3 linked regions of the Canis lupus familiaris genome follow. The protein of the gene in region 3 interacts with the protein of the main gene of each other region in a pairwise test. Links are inferred from orthologs where the notes say so. Each region holds a gene or a part of one and is shown on either strand. Other genes may lie near its edges.

Region 1 (3,588 bases), on a different chromosome or scaffold from region 3:
GGGCAGCAGCTGGCCTCTCCCCACGTGACATTCCTTCCTCCAGGGTGGCAGCTACTTGTCCTCCGCGCTCTCAGGCATGCCTGCCTCTAGCAGAGCGGCCCGGAACTGCGTCAGGACACCCCGGATGCTCTTGATGAAACCCTTAGAAAGTGGGAAGAGAGGGAAGCCGATGTCAGGGTAGCCACTCTTCTCAGGCAAGAAGCTCCGGTAGCTCTTTCTCCGCTTCTTTGGTTTGACACTGGGTGGCACCGGGGTGTCAGGCGCTGCCTCCGAAGTCTGGTCTGTGCGGTCCCTGCTAGCTGAGGCCGGGCCCTGGGCGCCGCCCTCCGAGTCTGAGCCCTGGGAGGCCTCGCCAGCGGCCAGCCCTCCGTCCTCAGGTTCTTCTCGGCCGTAGTCTGAGAGCTCGGCCACAGCAGGCGGCTCCGGGGAGCTGCTGTCCTTGGGGATCCCGTTGGGCAGCGCGTGGGCCCTCTCCAGCAAGGCGTGGGTTTCCAGCCAGGACTCGATGCGGCTCACCAGCCGCCAGCCGCCAGTACGGAAGTGCTGCCGGATTTCCTGCTCGAAGACTTCAGGGGGCCGCCGCACCAGCTGGGTCATGGACTGGACCACGCGGATGAGCGCCATCTCGTTGTAGCAACGACTGTTCTCGTACCCCTCCTGCAGGCCCCGGTCGCTGTCGAAGCCAGCTTCATTGTAGTAGGGTTCATTCACCAGGATCAGACCTGTGGGCGTTGGGGTGGGAAGCCCATGAGGGCTGGCCTGAGGACCCCTGGAGGGCAGCCAGAGCTACGGGTGGGAGCTGGAGACAGAGGCCTGTGTCTCCGCAACCCCCAGCAGCTCTCCCGACCACCAGCCCTCCCCCGACACCGTACCTTGGATGGAGATGAGCACCTGGAGAAGGCTGGATTTGCTCGTCCACCTCTCCGTCCCCTGAAACACATGTGCACACAGCATGATCGACTCTGTCCAGACACCCGCTCCCGACAGGCTGTCCTCCCACCCCGACGGTGCTGGCATTACACTCACCTTTCCAATCCAGGTGCCCAGGAGGCTGACACACACCTTCCCGTTGTCATACAGGTTGGGGTTCAGGCGGCCACTGCACTGGGAGAGGTAGCAAAAGTGGGGGGGCACGGCTGGGTAGATGTTGGGCAGCTGGATGTCAAACAAGTAGAGGCCATCCTCGTAGGGGGTGCGAGTGGGGCCCTTGATCAGGGCTGAGAAAAGGTCCTAGAGGGAGGGAAGGCTGAGGTCGGTGCGGGCTGCTGCACGCGGCACCTGTGTGGATCGGGGGGAGGAAGAACAGCGCCCTGGGATTCCAGATGCCACCAGCTACGGAGAAGCTAAATGGAACTATTTCTGTGCGGGCCTACACGGCATCTTTTAACTCCTGGTATAAATGGAATCATCCAAACTGTTTTTTTATCATTAAGTCATTACTTTGAAGATTCATTTCTTAAAACACCTGCCCTGACCCCCTCTGCCCTCAGGCCAACAACAATTACAACTAGTCAGAAGATGAAAGAACATTCCAAGGTGGCAAGGCTATACTTGCTTTTAGGGAACCAGAGGAACAGGGGATCTGGAACCCCAGTGGAAAAGCTGGCAGACCACCAAAGAAACTCGGGTCATTAAGTCATTAGGGAGACTGCCTCCAGACAGTTGAAATCTGTGTATCGGGGTGGGGGGTGGCATCCACTATTACAGCAACACACGTGACACTGGGTGATGTAAAAACAGCAAGGGCAGAGTACTGCCCGGTGCCACCCCGCAGGCCTTGAGATAATGCACTGCGCCATTTGTCCCTGCGAGTAAGCCCTGGAAAAAGTGCTGTTCTCTCCTCAGCAGAGCTGAGACAGGTTGGAATTTTCAAGTTTTACTAAAACTCAAGCAAAAGCAAAGATGTCACCAAGAACCCTGAGCAGCAGGGGCGGGGGGATGGGGTAACTGGGTGACGGGCATTAAGGAGGGCATGTGACGTAATGAGCACTGGGTGTTGTACACAACCGATGAATCACTGAACTCTGTCTCTGAAACGAGTAATACGCTATATATTGATTGAATTTAAATAAATATAAGAAAGAAAAAAAAAGAATGAATGAACCCTGAGTGGCACCGACCCTGTGGTGACCCCAGCCCCACCCCATGGTTTCCAGGCAGGTGCAAACAGCACCCCTGTTCTGTTCTCTGACCCTCTGGCCAGAGCTGGACTGCAGCTGCGGCCAGGTCAGACTCAAGTTCAGTGTCTCGCACCAGGCCCGGCACACAGCAGGGGCCCGGTGGAGGTGTTGAATAAATGAGGTGACAGATGGACCGGGCATGCCTGTGCCTGGAATGAGGACGCGCTCACACCGCCTCCGGTGGCATGACTCAAGCCTGGGCCCGGGCCATGGAGGGAGGAATGGAAAACGCAATGGGACATGGCCACGTGAGTGGATACTAATCTGTAGCTAAAAGAGAATGAACTAGATCAAGACGCATCAACATCAACAGGTCTCAAAAATCATCCCATTGAGACAAAAAAGCAAACTACGGATGATGTGTGCAATGACAGGCTACTCGTGTGGAACAGATCACACAAAATGTTTATGCTGACGTGTGAGAATGTGAAAATAGAAAATAAAAAAAGGTGGTCTTTTTTTTTCTTTTTAAAGATCTTCTGTAGGGAGACCCACAAAACTCCTAAAATTATGATGCCTAGGGGCTGGGTGAGGATTGGTCAAAGGCAACTTCAGCCTTCTCTGCAACGTTCTGATACTTTTAAAAGAACAACACTCAGGTAATAACTTGTAAAGAAGGGGGAAAAGAACACACCGTGTGGTCTAGACACGTGTGTGCCCCCCACGTGAAAGAGCCTGTCTCCTGCCCCATAAGGGGTGTGGGTGGCCTCTCAGGTGCTGCTCAGTCCTGGAGGTCCAGGAGCCCACAGCTGGCCGCCTCTGGGTGCCAAGCACCCACACAAGAACACCTGCACCTGCCCACGCCAAGCCCACGCCAGGCTACTTGCCATCCTATCTTCAAAAGTCTTGACCATGATGCCATCGGGCAGCGAGGTAGCCAGCAGTGCCATCTCCTTCCGTACTGTGCTGAAGAACTTCTTGGCTTCTGGAGGCTGGAACTCAATTTTCTTAAAAGAGTGATTTGCTAGAGGAGAGAAAAGAGGGGTCAATCCCTAATGACAGGACCCGAGAACTCTATCTGGAAGGACAGCTGCCACACGGGGGAAGTGGCCTAGAGGAAGCGCCCCACCAGGCGGGCGAATAAGCCCCCAGGCTTCACACCCTCGAGCCCAGCCACCGCCCCAGTGACCACACCAGGGAAATGCTTTCCTTTCCTCAGGCGGCAGCTGGGAGCTGGGAGGGGACCGGCAAAGGCAAGGTGAACTCACAGGGCGCAAACTCCAGCACCGAGAAGACCTCGCCCTTGGCACTGGTGAAGGTGACTCCAGGCTTGCCGCCACACTGCTGACAGAGCACCGGGGTCTCGCTGGGCCACTCGGCCTTCACGGGGGACTGCCCCTCGGGTTTGTCCTCCTTGCGTTCAGCATCCGGCATCGCCTCCATCTTCTCCTCCTCCGCAATGGCCACA
Region 2 (4,679 bases), on a different chromosome or scaffold from region 3:
GAAACAAAAATAGAAGTGAGGGACAGTAGTCTTGCTTCTGCAATACTTTAGCAAATAATAAGCATCATAAAGAGTTGGGAATTCTTGAACCCAGATAAACCAATGAACAGATTCTTAGGATGTGTGTAGTAGAATGGCCCAGAGGCTGGGCTTTGAAAATGAAGCAGAAGGTTTGGATCTAAGTTTGGTTGGTGTTGGTCAAGTTATTACTGTCTCTGAGCCTCTCTTTTTGCTTCTGTGAGAAGGGAATAAAAATACTATTGCCTTTGTGAGAATTATATGAGATAAAGTTGGGAAATATCATGGAGCCAGGCAGTGAGAATTCAGTGAATATGAGTAATACCAAGAAGATGACAGTGGTTACTTACTGAGTTTATGTTGGGGTCCAGACCCTGAGTGGGTACTTAGATGTATATGCCACAGTGCACCAATTTAAAATCTAGTTGTGAAGGAAAGGCCTAAATAAAACTAGCATCACAAAATGAGCAAAATAACATTACAAGTTGAGGGTAGAACTCTCACAAAGAGCTATATGGTTCAAGGACAAATAAGGTGTGTTAATAAGGTCATTTGGTGAAAGTCCAGGAGGGCTGTTGACCAAAACCTCACAGTCACAAGGACCTAACATTTACATCTTGGGCATTGTTGCCAAATGAGGATTGGAAGAACAATTGCATCATACAACTTTAAACCTGAATCTCATTACTAAACCACATCTACTAGGGTATATAATGAAATGACATCGTTAAAAAAATCTTGTAGTTATCTCACGAATATCATAACTATTTTGTGTTTGTGAGTTTGTTAAATATAAAAACTCAATGCTCACTGCAATTTTTGTTACTCTGTTTTGGCATCTCTTCCTAGGAAAGGGGTAGACCTCTCCTTTGCTGTACCAGACAGGCCCTGATGGTAAATTACAATAGGGACCTAGCAAGGATGAGAGCCAGGTGGTTTGGGGGCAATCAAGGAAGGCTTTAAGTCATGGGACAATGTTAGACACACCTGGAAATTTCTGGTTAGGAGGAACTCTGATGCTGCCTCTATGTTACCAGGGGGGTGGCAAGACCAGAGGAATCTGAGCAATGCAGGTAGGTAACATATTCCTGTAGTGTGTTAGCACTGGGCCAGGCAGCATATAACATGCAGTTCTTACAATGATCTTGACAACCTCGGAGATTGGTCCTGAAGGGCATTGAGTTCCAGGGTTTTCTTTGGTAAATTGGTATCTTTCTTGCCCTGGCTGGAATAACTTGTCTGGAATATAAAAGAGGCAAACCTTGCTCCCCAGCCTAAGCCCTTCCACCTTGTAATCATCAGGAAGAAATTCCTGGGCCCTTGAGCTAATGTGTGAGAAGTGTCCGATTCTGGATTCTCACTGATACATGGTATTTCTGAAAAGTAGCCCCTTGTCTGCAAATCTTTGGAATGGGTGTGAGTGTGGGCTTCTAGTTACTTTGAAAACATTTTAGGTATATACTGTTCTTTGTTTTGTTTTTATCTTGCTTTTGAGCAGGGGCTAAGTCTACATGGGCGGGTGAATGTGTGTGAAGGTCGTTCAATAGAGGAGACTGTAACATACAGTGAAATGACACAGGGAAGCTCTATTAGTGCTGTGGTGCTATACAAGAGTGTGGCAAGGCATCATCTGAGTGTGAGTGCGTGGTATGGACTGTGTTAGTGAGCTCAGGGGAGGGTGCAGGCTTTGAGAACTCCTCCTACCCGGTGCATTCTACATGCCTTGGATCCTTTAAATGTCTGAAACATTTATATGCAATCTCCAAAAGAGTCCCTCTCCACTTTCTCTCCAGATCCTCTCTGATTACATCATCTTTTTTTTACCAGTTGCCTCCTGGGTTTTGTCTCTGTCTGGATTACCCTCTTTTCTGGGCTTCTTCAAATTTGACCAGCCTTGAAAGCCAAAGTGAACAGATGTCCCAATCTGAGTCCTCCCTGTGAGGTGCTAAGATCCAAAGATGGATTAAGGAGTCTTGGAGGGGTTGGGATGTATTGTGTATGTGCGCATCAGTGTCTGGTAGGGCATTTATGCTTCTCTCCTCCAAAGTTGACTTGTATGGTCCCTGGAACATGTATAGGTGGCAGAGTGTGGGACTTGAAAAATAAATCCATAAGAAAAAAGGGAAAAATACTCATTAAGTATCAGCTATGAGTCAGGCACTATACTTGGTGTTTTTCATGTTGCCTCATTTAATATTTGAAAGATTATCTACCATTGTGGGTAGCCCTCTGCTGTGAGCCCATTTCAGGAAAATTGGAAACCCTTCACAATACTGAAGTTTCGATTTAGAATATGCCTACAGGCTTTTATCAGGGAGGTCTCTGTAAGTGGATTCACTTCATGCCACAGATAAATAGAAGTTGCGCACCAAAATGCCAAAGTGGGGCTCAAGGGATGGACATAGGAAGACTCACATTTGCCGTCTCCAGTTTGCAAAGGCGCAGCAATGGCTAGGGTAGGTGAGGCTGGCCTCCATGAGGGCGACAAACTTCTCCAGACTGGGAAGCTTTTTCAAGTTGTATGTTGACCTGGCCCGGAACTTCTTGAGATTTTCTAAGCCATAGCTAGGCAGGGAATGGATCCTGGTTCTTGAAATGTCTCTAGAAGTATAAAATGTAAATATAACTTGATTATTATGGACCTAAAATTTTCTGCTTGATTAGCAGGCAAAATGGCAGACACAGTAGTGATATTCTTACATGGGTGAGGAGGGAGATACCAGTTGATCCAACATACCTCAGCCAGATCAATATGTAGCTACGAGGACATTTGGTTTCCTGGAGGCCTGGCCTTTGTGTTTGCATAGGAGGATGTAGATAACAGGCCTCTCAAGATACCTGGATATACTCTCATCCTGCCTGACCTGGGGCTTAACTTTAGCCATCTCTCCTTCTATAGTCTGTCTTGAAATAGGTATCCACTAATTTACATAGGCTCAAGAGATTAAAGCCATTTCCTCCCCACCATAAAGTCAGCTATAAAAATATTTGTGATGAGCTGGTGTAGAACCTGTGGCCAAATTTTAGAAAAGTAAGAAGGAAAAGCACCATAAGGGGAAGAAGAATCTGGTAGGCAGTAGAGGCACCCTCGGTACAAAGTCAAAGTGGTGATAGAGAGTGGTGGTAATGACAGCCAGACTAGCCCATGTATGTACCCTGCTCCCCTACCTATTAGATTTGTGACCTTGGTAAAGTACTGTCATTTCTCCGTGTCTATTTCCTCAGCCATAAAATAGGAATGGTAATAATCGTAGCTACCCCAGAGGGCTGTTGGGACAACTAAATGATTTAAAAGTACACAAGAAACTTCCTGGCCAATGGACAGCACTTAATGACTGGCAGCAATTCTCAGTAAACTTCTCTGTCTCTCGTACATAGTTATTCTTGCTTTGTAGGAGTCTCTGACTGAGCAAAGCAGAGGGGATCTACATGAAGGGCCCCCCCAAAATGGACAATTTAATCAGGTCCATATCCGTGGAGGGCTCTGAAGTCCTATTCTTTCTGGCAACTGCACCAGTGACATTGGGTACTTTCTGGCAGCATGATTGGCAGCTGTAACTCCCAAAACAACCAAGACTAGCCAGTGGGAGGAAGGAGCTTTAAATGGTACCAGCTTAGACCTGTTGGGGCCAGCAGGTTAGTGAAGGAGTGCTTCTGATGGGGTGGTGGTAGCAAGTGATGACCAGGTTGGGCTCATCTCAGGACACTTGGATATACATGGCAAAGGAGAATCTTTTAATGTCTGCATTTCCTATAAGTCAAAGCATTGGGTACTTAGAGCAATGAAACTTGGGTGTATGAAAATATTTTTGCTGTGCCATATGTTCTCACAGTCTGGTGAAAATTACATTCTCCAAACCTTGTTGTCATTGCATCATTCATTTGCTTTCTCAAAAATCCTTAATACTTCCTGTTGTCCAATGAAACCCACCCCTATCGCTTCTCGGCCTTTTGGCTAAGATCAAGTGAAACTCACCCCTAACTGCTTCTCTATTTGTCACCTCCATTTCCCAATTAAACATAAGATAATGACACCAGTACCTGCTACTGACAGCTATTTTCTCATAATCCAATCTGATTTCTTCCCAACCCCTAGAGAAATACTCACCAAGGTCCTATCTTCATTCTAAGCTTCTCGATTTCTCAGTTATGTTTACATGTAAAACATTCATTCTTCCTTGAGACTTTTTCATGGCATCACATTCTATTTAATTTTTTCTGACATCTTCTTTGACCTGTATTTTGTTATCCTTTCTCCTCTATCTTTCCTTTAAATATTGGAGTTTCTCCAACCTTAAGTCACTTCTGACTGTATATAACTTTCTCAGGTGATCTTACCCACGTCCTTGGTTTCAGATACCAGAGATAGGCTGATGGTTTCTGAATATATATCCCAGCTCAGATCCTACTTCTGCACCCCAGGCCCAGATAATCAGTTGTCCATCAGACCCCACTATTTTGATGACTGTCAGGTATTAAAACTGAATTTACTACCTTCTATGTAGGTATGTTCCTCCTTTTGTTTTGCCCATGTCAGCAAATGACTCCTCCATTTCCCCCTGTTGTTCAAGATGGAAATTGGAAGAAGTCCTTCATTCCTCCCTCTGCCTCAGTTGGACATTGGGTTTTTTGTCTTCTTAGGCCTGACTTTACATCTGTTT
Region 3 (5,158 bases):
TACTTACTCTTGATTCTTATCAATTGCTACAACCTTCTTCATTTATAAGCTCAATCACAGTTCAACCAAGAAGGTCACTTGCCTTGAAAAACCTTTCTTCTTTAGAGCCAGGTTGCATGCCACTGTGCTGACAGGATAGAAAACAAATATCAAAGGAAAGAGTTGGAATCTGTACAATGCTGAGAACTTTAAAGCAGTTGAGAACCAGTAACACTAAGAACTGATTCCAAACCACCTTTCAAAAACTAAAAATCTCTTCCTGAGGGTGAGTAGTTGATAAACAATATAAGGGGAAAACCCTTATTTAAAGCTTATGACACGAAGGATAATTCTGTGAAACAATGCTGCAATCTACTTGGTAAAACTTTTAAAACTAGATTTTATCTTTTAAGAGATCATGGGAAAAATCTAGCATTTCAGTTTAAAATCCATAACTTCCGTTCCTGTTCCCATATTTGGGTTTGTTCTGCTATATCTGGATCTATTCCAGTGTGTCTGTGGAACCAGACAACTAATAATCTTTACTCAGCATTTCTTTCTTTCTTTTCTTTTTAAAGACTTTATTTATTCATGAGAGACACAGAGACCCAGGCAGAGGGAGGAGAAGCAGCCTCCACGCAGGAGCCTGATGTGGGACTTGATCGGGAACTCTGGGATCACGTCCTCAGCTGAAGGCAGACGCTCAACCGCTGAGCCACCCAGGCGTCCTTTTACTCAGCATTTCTTATGGAATGGATTGATTGGATTAATGGCTAGAGTTTTATTTATTTTGAAGATTTTGGACTTTTTTTTTTTTTTTTTAAATCTCTACACCCAATGTGGGACTCAAACCCACAGCCCTGATATTGGGAATTGCATGCTTTAGGAACAGAGCCAGCCAGGTGTTCCTAACGGCTAGAATTTTACAAGACACTTATGATTTTGCCATTTTCTTTGCATACTGATGAAAACTTCTTGTGACTCTACAGAGAAATGCATGAGGCAGTTGTGAGGTTGGGGAAGAAGGACAAAGAACCAGGAATTCTAACCCAGACCAGGTGTTGGAATCAGAGCTTCACTCTTCTTTACTGTAAAATTAGAGGCTGAAGAAGCTATTGAAAACTTCTTCCACAACTTTTTGATCTAACAGATATGCCTGTCAGCTACCCACATAATTAACCAGTGTGTGCTAAACTTTAAAAGATGTTTTCTGGGCAGCCCGGGTGGCTCAGCGCTTTAGCGCCTGCCTTCGGCCCAGGGCGTGATCCTGGAGACCCAGGATGGGGCCTGCTTCTCCCTCTGCCTGTGTCTCTGCCAATCTGTCTCTCTCTCTCTCTCTGTGTGTGTCTTTCATGAATGGATGAATAAAATTTAAAAAAAATCGATTTAAAAAATAATTTAAAAAAAAGATGTTTTTGTTTGTGATTTATAACAACTACTGAAGTCTGAATTGAGGCACCGTAGCCCTTCCAGGCCAGGTAAGAATCGATGAATCGATAATAAAGTCTCATGTTTTTAACTGAATATACTGATATCCAAGTGCCCAGAAAAATAACTGCGGGTCTACCGTCCATACATTTACTGGGAAGCCTGCTAGTGACCCAGCTTGGGATCCCACAGCCGGCTGAGCGGGCCAGCACCCTGTCGCCGGGAGGGTGGGGGTGGGGAGCAGACTGGACGCTGCGGGCAGGGTTGCGAAGGTTGTAACTGGAGCAAGAAAGGCCCCCGGCAGTAGGGCCTCTTCCGTGGTCTCTGATGAAATGTTGCAGGAGGAGTAAAGACACCCCAAACTCCCCGGGGTGGTGGTCCTCAGACGAGGCTCTGGTTCGCTGAAAGGCGAGAGACGGTCCCCCACAATTTGCATCAACAGGCGCGCGCAGGGCGGACGGTCGCAGCGAGCAGTCAGCGCCACCCGCGAGGCCGCCGCTCACCACAGCACCCAGAGCCGCGAAGGAACCTCCGGGCTAGCCCCGCCGCGCTGACGGGCGTCGCTGCGAGCCAATGGGCGCGCCGGGAGGCGGGGCAGGGCGGCCGAGGGGGCGGGATTTCCCGCGCGGCCGCTCGGCGCCTGGCGAGAGCGGCGCGGGCGGCGACGGCGGCCGCGCCTGCGAGAGAGGGCGGGTCGGGGTCAGCTGCTGCAGGCGGGCGGGCGCGGCGAGCTGTGGGCGGCTGCCGTGTCTCCTCCTGCCGCCGCCCTCCCTCCGCCACGATGCCGGGAATCGACAAGCTGCCCATCGAGGAGACGCTGGAGGACAGCCCGCAGGTGAGGCGCGGGCGGCGGCGGGAGGCGAGGGAAAGAGCAGGGCGGGCCGACCCCAGGCCTGGCGCCGCGGCGGCCGCAGGTGCCCGCCCCGGCCCAGGTGGGCGCCGCCGTCCAGTGCCCCCGCCCGTCGCGGGCCGCGCCCCGGGTCGCCGCGGCCCGGCCGCCAGCCCGAGGCCCGCGTGGGCCTGCGCCGCTGGGCCGAGAGAGCCACCCGCGAGGTCTGGGACGTCGGCGGGCGGCGGCCGAAGCTCCGCCGCCCGCGCTCGTGGGCCCGGCGGTCACGTACGTTCGCGGGGGCTCCCTCGTATTTGACGAAAGGTGCGTTTTCATCGCCGTCATCTAAGGTCGTAAATTCCAATCCTGGGATCTCTTCGGAGGAAATGCAGAAGGAGGAAAAAAATAAAAAAATAAAACAGCACCCCCTCACCCCCTCACCCCCTCACCCCCCGTAGACTTATCCCACGACCCCTGAGCAAGCCCTTGGGGAAGGAAATGGATAGTGTTCCCTCCGGAGTTGCAGGAACGCTGCTGATTTACCCGCCTGGAGAGTCCTCGGCGAAGCCCGTCCTGTGCCTCGGAGCCTCCCCGCGGACTGTGTCCCGCGTCGTGGCCGCGGCTGTGGCCGCTGTCACTCGAGCTGTGCACGGCCGGTGACGGACGGACGGCGCCTTCGCGGCGGCACGACCAACTGCTGCGCGGAACGGTGCAGACTTGGCCCTTAATAAACTCATCAAAATAAAAGCCCCGTGTTTTGTGCTCGGGAGCGGGTGGGAGGGGTAATGCTAATGCGGTTGCTGGAGCCCCGAGACGGTCCAGGGAAACCTAGCAATTTGTTAACGTGTTCGATATTGAAGAACGAGATGAATTACATTTAAAATTACATGTTGGTAGGGCGCTGTAACTTGCATCGGGAGACCTCATCCTCAAAGCCTGTCTCCTACACAAGTGATTTAAGCGATTTAGGACCGTGTTGCTGGTTGGCCACCTCTGAAATGGTGCGCATTCAGAACTACCATTGCATACATTTCACGCGTGTCTTGACGGTTTAATATGGCCCCAAAAGATGAGGAAGTAGGGGCTAGGTCCCCCTGGCCTGTGTGACACGTCTGCTGTGACTTTGTGCCAATTTTAATTGCCAAGTGGAAGTCGGGCTCTGATTGTGGAATTGATTTTTTTTTTTTCCCCATGCCGAAAGTTATCTTCACAGGCCAGTTGTTTGCTGGTAATGTACTCTTATCAGCCTAAACTGACACAGAGAGAAACCCGCATCTTGGTTTATCTTGACTGCCAGAATAGCTAGTTCAAATTCTTTTTTTTTTTTTTTTTTTTTTTTGCTAGTTCAAATTCTTATTGATATCTGAAGTATAAAGTTAGGAGATGTATTTGTTTCAGATGTTTTGTAAAGGTTTTGTGGTACGAGTTGGTCAGGTGCACTTTGTCATCTTTTATTATGTAAGGCTCAACAGGTTGCTGTACCTTTTCTTACCTGGCCTGGTTTTTATAGCCCATAAATCTTACACGCAGGCCACAATGGGTGCCCTTGCCACGACTTGTGAGGAGGATAAAATGTGACTCATCTAATTTCTCGAACTTTTCACACAGTTTACAAATTGAGCATTCTTTTTTTTTTAAATTAAGTATGTGCCATATTAGTATCAGTTTTATAGTAATTTTTTAATGAAATAGCTGCCTTGATACTCTTTCAGTTTCTTTAAGTGATAACTTGAACTAGGTACTTTGGAAAATTAGGATAAATGGGATTTAGAAAGGGAAGACGTGGGACAGGTGGGTGGTTCAGTGGTTGAGTGTCTGCCTTTGGCTCAGGGCAGATCCCGGAGTGCCGGGATTTGAGTCCTGCATCTGGCTTATTGCATGGAGCCTACTTATCCCTCTGTCTCTCTCTGTGTGTCTCTCATGAATAAATAAATAAAATATTTTAAATTAAAAAAAAAAAAAAAAAGGGAAGATGCCTGGAAGTAATACTTAGGGAAAACTTATGGTACGATGGAAAGCCCTAGATTCTGGGATTCAGGATATAAGGGTTTTAGTCTTCACTGTGACTTCACTTTAGGGCAAGTCACTCAACTTCTCAAAATCTTAGCTGTTATAGTGAATGTTTTTATTTTTGTACCTGATTATAAAAGACATAGTCATGAAAGAAAGAAAAATTGGAAGGTACAGGAAACAGTTACCTGTCCTGCACCCAGCAGCAAACCCTGTTAACTGTGTTTCCTCATTTGCTTTTATATATTTTAATGTAATTGAAGTTATATTGTGCATAACAATTTTTAATCTGCTTTAACTTAACAATGTAGTGTTAAGCATGTTCACGTATTAAATTCTGAATAAAAAAATTTAAAGGCTGCATGTTTTTTCATGTGACTTAACAGCTGTCCTACTGTTGGACTTAAAGTTTTTCATAAGTTTTGTTTTTACATATAGGACTGAGGTTAATGCTTTGGGGCATAAATTTTTGTCCTCATTTGGAATATTTATTTAGGATAGAGTCCAGGAAGTTGAGTAGCAAAGCGTATGAAAACTTTTAAAGTTCCTGGTATAGAGAAGTTTTTATTTAGATCATTAGATCCTAACCAGAAGTGGTCTGCCAGTGCTGAGAAAAAAAAGGTAGAGCCTGGGGTCATGAAAGACTATCCTAAGTTGCGGTTATCCATTTTTAGTTTTGATTTATAGTAACTAGGTATTAAAATAGATGGCAGTTTGCAAGTTCAAATCCAGTTGATTGGACATAAACATCTTTAGAATTATCTCCCATTCTGTAAAAGCTTATGTTATTTATTGAAACAGAAAATCTTTAAGGCTACGCTAGATGTCTTGTTCATACTTAAGTATTGTTTTGGAGATCTGGAGCAAAATGAAACTTTCTAGTTAAGAACAGATACGATCTTTTAAAAATAA

The links. The genes of interacting proteins can lie anywhere in the genome.
Region 1: the proteins of APPL1 (region 3) and UBE2O interact in binary tests that used the Homo sapiens proteins (3 or more experiments, as listed by UniProt). The two-hybrid records come from large-scale screens. The link is inferred for Canis lupus familiaris from reciprocal best matches to the Homo sapiens genes APPL1 and UBE2O.
Region 2: the proteins of APPL1 (region 3) and FSHR interact in a two-hybrid assay, tested with the Homo sapiens proteins (2 studies listed by BioGRID). The link is inferred for Canis lupus familiaris from reciprocal best matches to the Homo sapiens genes APPL1 and FSHR.

What each region holds. Positions count from the first base shown.
Region 1 is NC_049230.1:5,207,962-5,211,549, reverse strand, and holds part of UBE2O ((E3-independent) E2 ubiquitin-conjugating enzyme), read right to left. Parts: coding exon 3,389-3,588; intron 3,145-3,388; coding exon 3,008-3,144; intron 1,231-3,007; coding exon 1,027-1,230; intron 931-1,026; coding exon 873-930; intron 723-872; coding exon 52-722; 3' UTR 1-51. UniProt on the Homo sapiens protein: E2/E3 hybrid ubiquitin-protein ligase that displays both E2 and E3 ligase activities and mediates monoubiquitination of target proteins. Negatively regulates TRAF6-mediated NF-kappa-B activation independently of its E2 activity.
Region 2 is NC_049231.1:51,821,867-51,826,545, forward strand, and holds part of FSHR (follicle-stimulating hormone receptor), read right to left. Parts: intron 2,620-4,679; coding exon 2,434-2,619; intron 1-2,433. UniProt on the Homo sapiens protein: G protein-coupled receptor for follitropin, the follicle-stimulating hormone. Through cAMP production activates the downstream PI3K-AKT and ERK1/ERK2 signaling pathways.
Region 3 is NC_049241.1:33,414,971-33,420,128, reverse strand, and holds the start of APPL1 (DCC-interacting protein 13-alpha), read left to right. Parts: upstream 1-2,061; 5' UTR 2,062-2,188; coding exon 2,189-2,242; intron 2,243-2,528; exon of another isoform or gene 2,529-2,611; intron 2,612-2,779; exon of another isoform or gene 2,780-2,959; intron 2,960-5,158. UniProt on the Homo sapiens protein: Multifunctional adapter protein that binds to various membrane receptors, nuclear factors and signaling proteins to regulate many processes, such as cell proliferation, immune response, endosomal trafficking and cell metabolism.